Xenopus tropicalis: one gene and its partner. Each later gene encodes a partner of the first gene's protein in a complex. Links are inferred from orthologs where the notes say so. Each region holds a gene or a part of one and is shown on either strand. Other genes may lie near its edges.

Region 1 (3,486 bases):
AGGGCAACAACCCAGGAGCAGGAACGCTACCTCTGCCTTTGTGCAAGGAAGAACAGGAGGAGCACTGCCAGAGCCCTGCAAAATGACCTCCAGTGGGCCACAAATGTGCATGCGTCTGTTCAAACAGTCAGAAACAGACTCCATAAGGGTGGCATGAGGGCCCGACGTCCACAGGTGGGGGTTGTGCTTACAGCCCAACATCGTGCAGGACGTTTGGCATTTGCCAGAGAACACCAAGATTGGCAAATTTGGCACTGGCACCCTGTGCTCTTCACAGATGAAAGCAGGTTCACACTGAGCACATGTGACAGACATGACAGAGTCTGGAGACACCGTGGAGAACGTTCTGCTGCTTATTTAATAAGAATATTTCATTCATTCAGATCTAGGATGTCTTATTTTTGTGTTCCCTTTATTTTTTTGAGCAGTGTATATACTAATACTATTGTGACAAAAGCAAATTGCATTTGCAAAGTTACATAGTAAAAAAGGAAACTATCCATCATGTTCAACCCTTCAGTGTGTGTTCCGGCATCTCTTCCTCCTATTAAGCAATAAATGGAAAAAAAAGTATCATGTAGGAATTCCTTACCTGAAGGCAATATCTTTTGCTATTTATAATGAATGTTGCCCTATTGATTCAATGATGGACCAGCCTGTGAGAGTGCAGGTAAGACATGGTCCCTAAATCATTATTCACAAAATTACAAACAATGATCACATGGAATGTAAGAAGGTGGTTCTTTTTACATTTTATTAAATAATATTTACAGGTGAAAAACAAAAACACACAATTAAGAAATATTACTTATAATGTATAGGATGTTTTAAAACTTGCTGCTTTATTCCTAAAAACATGCAGTTAAGTCATTAACTCAGTCATTTAAAGGAAACTGAGGGCATGATTAATTGTCACCTCATTTTAATACTGTTAGGGTAAGGGCCTGCTGTGCTACTTCCCATGGCCAATATCCCTAAGTCACTTAAGTTAAAGCATTTTGTGCACTCAAAACTTATATTCTGTTGCACACAGGGACAATGCACTGGCTCAGGATGCACGGTCCCTGATGTACACAATGGGCAGCACATGAGTATATGCAACATGAAAAAAGTAGGGCCATGTCCTAAGGATCATAGAAGGTATGTAATAGGACACAGGACACTGCTAGCAGTGGGAAGGGGCACAGAAGCCTATGCCCTAAAAAGCTAATGAGTGCATGTAGAACTGGGCCTTTACTCTTTACTTTTAAATCATTCACCCCGTGCACACATCACTAAGAAATGAAATCATGAGCATTAATTAACACTTTAGCAATGTGAAATTGTGCTCATTAGACTGGTCCTCCTTTTACTCCTGTTCTGCACAACAGTTCTGTTTCACAGTGCACTGTGCCCCATTACTCCCATTTACTATATAACAGTGCATCAAATCTTCTAATTCACTGTTACAGAAACACCTACTACTTTCCCAATACATACTGTATACTGTAAGTAAAACACAATTCTCCTCCAATCCCGTAGCCATAACCCATTTAGCCCTTGCTGTGACTGGGGGTTGCTTTAGACAGCATTCTGCCCTCATCAGTTAGGTAGTAAAGCTTGCAGCTCCTCATCAGTAAGCTGGTTTGTTTCCATGATGTGCCGAAGTTGATGGTGGTATTTCTCCAGATCCTGCATAAAGTGAGGAATCCGAATATTATCTAGCTCGGCAAACTTCTGTAGCTCATCTACATCCTCATAGGATACCTAAGAAAGAAGGCAATAAAACCCTCCTCATCAAACAACAAAGTAGAATAGTCAGGCATTACTTAGGGGCACATTTACTAATCCACGAACGTCCGAAAAGAGTCCGAATGCGTTTTTTTCGTAATGATCGGTATTTTGCGATTTTTCGTAAATTGTCGCAAGTTTTTCGTAGCCATTACGACTTGCTCGCAAATTGTCGCAACTTTTTCGTAGCCATTATGACTTGCTCGTAAATTGTCGTGACTTTTTCGTAGCCATTACTACTTGCTCGTAAATTGTAGCGACTTTTTCGTAGCCGTCGTGCCGAGTGCGAAAGTTTCGAATTCATTCAAGCTTCAGTATCGTGACTTTCCTTGGGCCAGGTTGGAGCTGCAGAGTGCCATTGAGTCCTATGGGAGGCTTCCAAAATCATGCAAAGTCGCAAAGGTTTGCCCGCCGTTTACGAGCGCTCAATACGAAAAAGTAGCGACAATATACAAGCAAGTCGTAATGGCTATGAAAAAGTTGCGACAATTTATGAGCAAGTCGTAATGGCTACGAAAAAGTTGCGACAATTTACGAAAAATTTTTCCAATCCAAGCTTGGAAATATATACTTTAAGCCAATATGTAAGTATATACTGTATATATCTTTACTTATAAAGTGCTACTTATTTATGTAGCACTGTACAGTGGAAATTAATACAACAAACAGGAAGTTATTACAATAATAGATAAATACAAAGTATGGCATTGGATACAAATAAATACAAGGTGCAGTTGCAACAAGTTTAGAAACAAGAGGATGGGGTCCCTGCACACAAAGCTTACAATCTATATGATAATACCCCTTTCTTTACCATTAGTTCAATGTATAAGGCATGTGTTTAACACACATTATATGTATTGTTTTAATTGGGAAATTTTTTTTATTTTTTTTGTTCTTTCCAGCCAACAGGACTATGATTTGGTTCTGATTCACGGTAGGCATCTTGGTGCAAAGCATTAACAATATATACAGTGCTTAATTATGCATCACTATAAATGGTTTGTAGTTATTCCACATTATGTTATTAAGTAATGTACACATTGTAACAGTAATGTACACAATGAAGCTTGGATTGACATAATGATGTCATGGTTTGTAGCACAAAGGTTTATGGGAAAGTAGAAAAAAACATGAGCAATTTAGAAATATACCTTGCGGATGTACACACATTTTTGTAATAATGTGTAAAAACACCATGTGAGATATAGCCCCTGGAAATTATAAAGTTGGGGAAAGAAAGGAATTTGTTTAAAATAAGGGCTCCTCACTTAACTAGACAGACTGTAAGGGTGATGGCACACAAGGAGACACCTTAGCATTGATGTCAGTAAGAATTGCCGGCAGTAAAACATATGAATTGCATCACCTCTGAAAGATGCTGGAGAAGGCAGTTTCAGGTGGTAATGCAATTCATGTGTTTTACCACTGGAAATTCATGCTAACGCAAATGCTAAGGTGTTTTCAGGAGATTTGTTGCTCACACAAATTTCCTACAAATGACAAATCTCCTTGTGTGCCATCAACCTCAGTGATGCTTATAATTGGAATGACAAAATAGTCATGATGAGGTAGTTTAAATCTTACTATACCTTTCCAAGGGAAGTTAACAGGCGAAAATCGATGGTATGTCGGTGCCGCAGAATGCGCAGTATTCCATCAAGATAGACTTGGTCTTTACTGAAGCAGCCTGGGGAGATTACGCAATTGTAATTA
Region 2 (4,346 bases), on another chromosome or scaffold:
ATGCAACTTTTTAATACACCAAAAGAGTAACAAGCACCCTTGTGATGAGCACCATTAATGTAACTTGTGAGCACTCATTCTTCACTTTGCTTAATATAGACCAGACTGTGCATGTAAAGAGATGTTGTGACTTCAGTTCACTGCCACACTGACAGTAATTCTTCAAACATAGGTAAATTGCTTAACAGTGAATGTTCTTTGCTACATTATTTCAAACCAAAACTACCCTGCCTTCCACCCATTTAAAAAGGTAAAATGTTTAATAGGCACTTCTGCATGAAATGCACCGGCATGTTTTAGATAGCATAAACATTGCATCTGAAACCAGTTGTTCCAAGAGAAATATAATTAGTACTGTTACAGCAAGTACAATTCAGCCTGCAATCGTAGGCTATGGAGACACCGCGCTAATAAGTTGTTTCTTTTCTGCATTTGTATAAACTTGAATGCTTACCAGTTTGCGGATTCTGTCCAGTACTAGATCAATAATTTCTTTGCCAATTGTATAGTGACCACGGGCATAGTTATTGGCAGCATCCTCCTTTCCGGTAATTAACTGCTCTGGGTGGAACAGCTGACGGTATGTTCCTGTGCGCACCTCATCTGCAAAAGGAAAAAAAAATAAATACAATAAATTATATAGGTCTGTGCTTGTGATGTAATTTGTGCAAAAAATAAAGAAAATTGGCCACTCAATAACCCCTGAGATTAGAAGCCACCCCTGAGTTTTATGACCTGCATAAAAAGCACCCTGCCTTTGGCCTTGTGTCTATTGTGGTCATGGACTTCATACTGACATGAAATATATATTATACCAGGGGTCATATATGTACAATTCTATTATATACAAAGAAACATTAAACAGCCTTGGTTGTTTTCTCACCAATGACAGTGGGTTCCAGGTCAACAAACACAGCTCTGGGGACATGCTTTCCTGCTCCAGTTTCACTGAAAAAGGTGTTGAAGGAGTCGTCCCCTCCTCCAATGGTCTTGTCACTGGGCATCTGCCCATCAGGTTGGATGCCATGTTCCAAACAATACAGTTCCCAGCAGGCATTGCCGATCTGCACACCAGCCTGGCCAACGTGTATAGAGATGCACTCACGCTGTAAACAAAAAAAAAATGTAATACATAGAGAAACACAGTTTTGCTAAGTGAGTACAGAATCTATTCCCAAAATCAGTGATGGAAGGAGACAATCACTAGGGTCCTCAGTACCATGGCTAAAATCAAACAAAATGAAATGCAAGGCGTTGCAATATTCTCTGCTTGGGTTTCCTTTCACACTAATACATGTAGATAACTGGCTTCTGATGTGTTCACAAACACACACACGTATGCAACAAAGACCACAGGTCGTCATTCAGCCACCATCCTAGCAAATACATTTCCTATAAGGAGTTTTTTCTAGATTGCATACTGGGTACCTTAGCCAAGAGCCAAAAAATGGCCATGTATTACCAATAAAGCAGTCCAGCTATTATTTACCAGTAGATTATGTTCTACCGCACTACTTGGACTCTGGAGTCAATAGCCCCCACATCTCTACCCCCTCACATGATTTGTCATGTGAAAGTGCAAACAAGCCTGCTAACCCGACTGCCAGATATGACATAGAAAACCTACCAGCAGTGCAGATTACACACCCATAGCCATCAGCTGACACTACTTCCACGTTTGCAGGCAGAAGCCTACAAGCTGTTCCCACCCCCCACAATCCATGTGTCGGCCCCTTTCAACATGAAAGTAGAACATGTACCGGCTTTCCGCTAAAGCAGGATTACCTCACAAAAGCCGCCCCCTGCCCAACAACTGATTGGCATTGCTGCTTTCCACACCCGGCAGCTGCTGTCTAGTCACTCGGCTTCTGCACATGCCTTCAGGCATTCCGCACAAAAACTGTTATAGTGCAGCTGCAATCTCATAATAGTATAGAAATACATTTGTGGAATGCTAATATGTGAAACATTTGCTAGAACATCTGTCAAAGCCACATCTAGGGAAATGATTATGTGCCGGGATATATCAGCCGCTATGTGAATGAACCATTTCAGCACAAACATACCTAGCCTGCCATTCATTTTACCCTACTCTCCACTGTCCTTTTAAGGTTTAATTTTACTATATCGCATATGTACCCACCTCTACACACATTCAACTCAGGTCCAAGAGAAGGATACTTATTGATTAACCTGTTTTAGGGGGATCTAAAGTTACTGCAAATTGCATCTCTTTCAAGTGTACAGACCCTAGTTAGGCCAGTTAGTTTTATTTTGTTTAACAGGAATATGTTGCCTCCTGCTTTGGTTATGGAAATCACTAACATGGCACTCAAGGTTACATCAATGTCTGATTACAAAGCTCTCTAGCAACGTTTTCCCCTGGGTGACACAGAGGTACTGTCAGTCTCAGGCAGAAGGTCCAGCCTAGTGGGGCTATTATTATTATTATTATAGCCCTAAATCACTTACTCCCTAGATCGCCTAGATATGTGTGAGGCTATTGCGGCAAAGAGTTTGGGGAGCACTAGCCTGTTCTAGTTATCACTGAAAGCAATCTGCACTGACTATGACTCCCCCCCCAGGCAGTATATAAGGCCGGGGCATCGCGCCCACACACACACAGACACACACACAGACACACACACACACACAGACCAGCACAAAGCGCGCCGCTATCAGCGCGGGAAGACCCGTTCCATCCGAGCTTCTCCTCATCCCAATCCCTTCCATTCAGTACTTACGTACAGCCAGCAGCGCTGAAACTAGAACAAGGTATTCCCTCAACTAGAGGAATTCCCTTCCACGTCGTCCTTTGCCCAGCTGTTCATTATTTTTTTTTCAGAAAAAGATGTGGACAAGCTATCATTTTAATGGCTAAGGCCATGGATAAAAAAAAAAAAAAAACATAAAGGCTACTTACCATGGTTAAAAGTCAACGAAGAAACAAGAAAAAAATTTAAAAAATGAAATAAAATACGTTACTTTATCCCACAATGAAGAGTGGATGTAAGTAACAGAATGGGAGGCAGAGGAGCCGACTGTGCCTTTTATACTCCATGGGCGGTGACGCGTTGCTGTATTATGTTAATAAGCTGCGGCTGCTGTGTGATTGGCTGAGCGCCTCAGATACTTGTACGAACGGAGGAGGCGGGAGCTTTTGGTCCTCTTCATCTCGCTGAGTTTTATTGGCGTAAAATGGCCGACTCATCCCTCACGGTTATTTTGGGCCTCTGTAATTCCTGATAATCCTTATTACGGCGGATTACAATATATTCGCAGTGAGGCGCAATAGTTACAAACAACACCGCTGTAATGTCAATTCTGAAACGGCTCCATTTTACTCAAATCCTGATGGGAAAGACCGCGGGAATATGGAACCCGCAGCTCCCCAGCAGTTGGCTAATAGTTAATCTCAGCATCCCACAGAGGAGGATATCCTTGTGTTAAAAGCTCAATGCGTGATAAACTAATGCTTTTTAACTCACGGCTGATTATAAGGGTAGGGTATAAGGAGGGCAGCGCTACATTATCCACATACAATGCTATCTGCTTGGCACAGGGATGTACCACTGCTGGGGGATGCGGGACATTCCAGTCAGGGGACGGGCCGGGATCGGGCGTGCCAACAGGTTCCAGTAGCGGAACTGCAAATCATTGGGGGTTGCAGGCCCAGTAGCTGCTGCGATGGAACGGACGGCGGGTTGCAGGGGCGTCACTGTAGCTACAGGGTTAATAAAAGTGCGCTCTTCCTTTCTCCCCCCACCCCCGTGCTGACATGGTTCGTCTCTATGGGAATATAGTCTAGAATGCGGCAAAGGAAGCTGATCTTGCAGATAGAAAATGCGGCACCTTAAGTAGGACGTTGGCACTGACCCAGTGTAATACTCAGACCTACCCACAGCCCACAGTGTGCGGCAGTCAGGCTTGCCAGCTAGTCCTTTATACTGGGAAATACAAAACCAGCACTCAGACTACATCAGGGATCCCCAACCTTTTTGACCTGTGAGCCATAAAAAGAGTTGGGGAGCAACACAAGCATGAAAAAGGTTCCTGGGGTGCTAAATAAGGGCTGGCATTGGCTATTTGGTAGCCCCTATGTAGACTGGCAGCTTACAGAAGGCTCTGTTTGGCAGTAAACCTGGTTTTCATACGACAAAAACTTGACATAAAGCCCAGATTTCAAAAATTCGCACCTCCTTTAGGGCCACTGGGAGCAACATCCAAAGGGTTGGTGAGCAACATGTTGCCCCTGAGCCACTGGTTGGGGATCACTGGCCTAGACCATAGACATATCCCCCAACTGTCCTGCTTTTCGCAGGACAGTCCCAGTGTTTACAGCGCAT

The links.
Region 2: the proteins of kiaa0895l (region 1) and tuba1b are in contact, whole or in part, in a cryo-EM structure (PDB 7Z6S), measured with the Homo sapiens proteins. The link is inferred for Xenopus tropicalis from reciprocal best matches to the Homo sapiens genes MATCAP1 and TUBA1B. Residues at the interface, in NP_001035805.1 of Homo sapiens: Lys219, Cys220, Trp223, Val226, Arg227, Gly237, Glu238, Val239, Val240, Val241, Gln242, Leu243, Met253, Met254, Val255, Glu256, Asn257, Ser258, Arg259, Pro260, Thr261; in NP_006073.2 of Homo sapiens: Asp345, Trp346, Arg422, Glu423, Ala426, Ala427, Glu429, Lys430, Asp431, Glu433, Glu434, Val435, Gly436, Val437, Asp438, Ser439, Val440, Glu441.

Annotation. Positions count from the first base shown.
Region 1 is NC_030680.2:76,349,442-76,352,927, forward strand, and holds the end of kiaa0895l (uncharacterized protein KIAA0895-like homolog), read right to left. Parts: intron 3,461-3,486; coding exon 3,363-3,460; intron 1,747-3,362; coding exon 1,582-1,746; 3' UTR 737-1,581; downstream 1-736. UniProt on the Homo sapiens protein: Tyrosine carboxypeptidase that removes the C-terminal tyrosine residue of alpha-tubulin, thereby regulating microtubule dynamics and function. Also able to remove the C-terminal phenylalanine residue of alpha-tubulin TUBA8.
Region 2 is NC_030678.2:136,561,074-136,565,419, forward strand, and holds the start of tuba1b (1), read right to left. Parts: upstream 3,003-4,346; 5' UTR 2,927-3,002; coding exon 2,924-2,926; intron 1,266-2,923; exon of another isoform or gene 1,223-1,265; coding exon of another isoform or gene 1,220-1,222; intron 1,107-1,219; coding exon 884-1,106; intron 604-883; coding exon 455-603; intron 1-454. UniProt on the Homo sapiens protein: Tubulin is the major constituent of microtubules, protein filaments consisting of alpha- and beta-tubulin heterodimers. Microtubules grow by the addition of GTP-tubulin dimers to the microtubule end, where a stabilizing cap forms.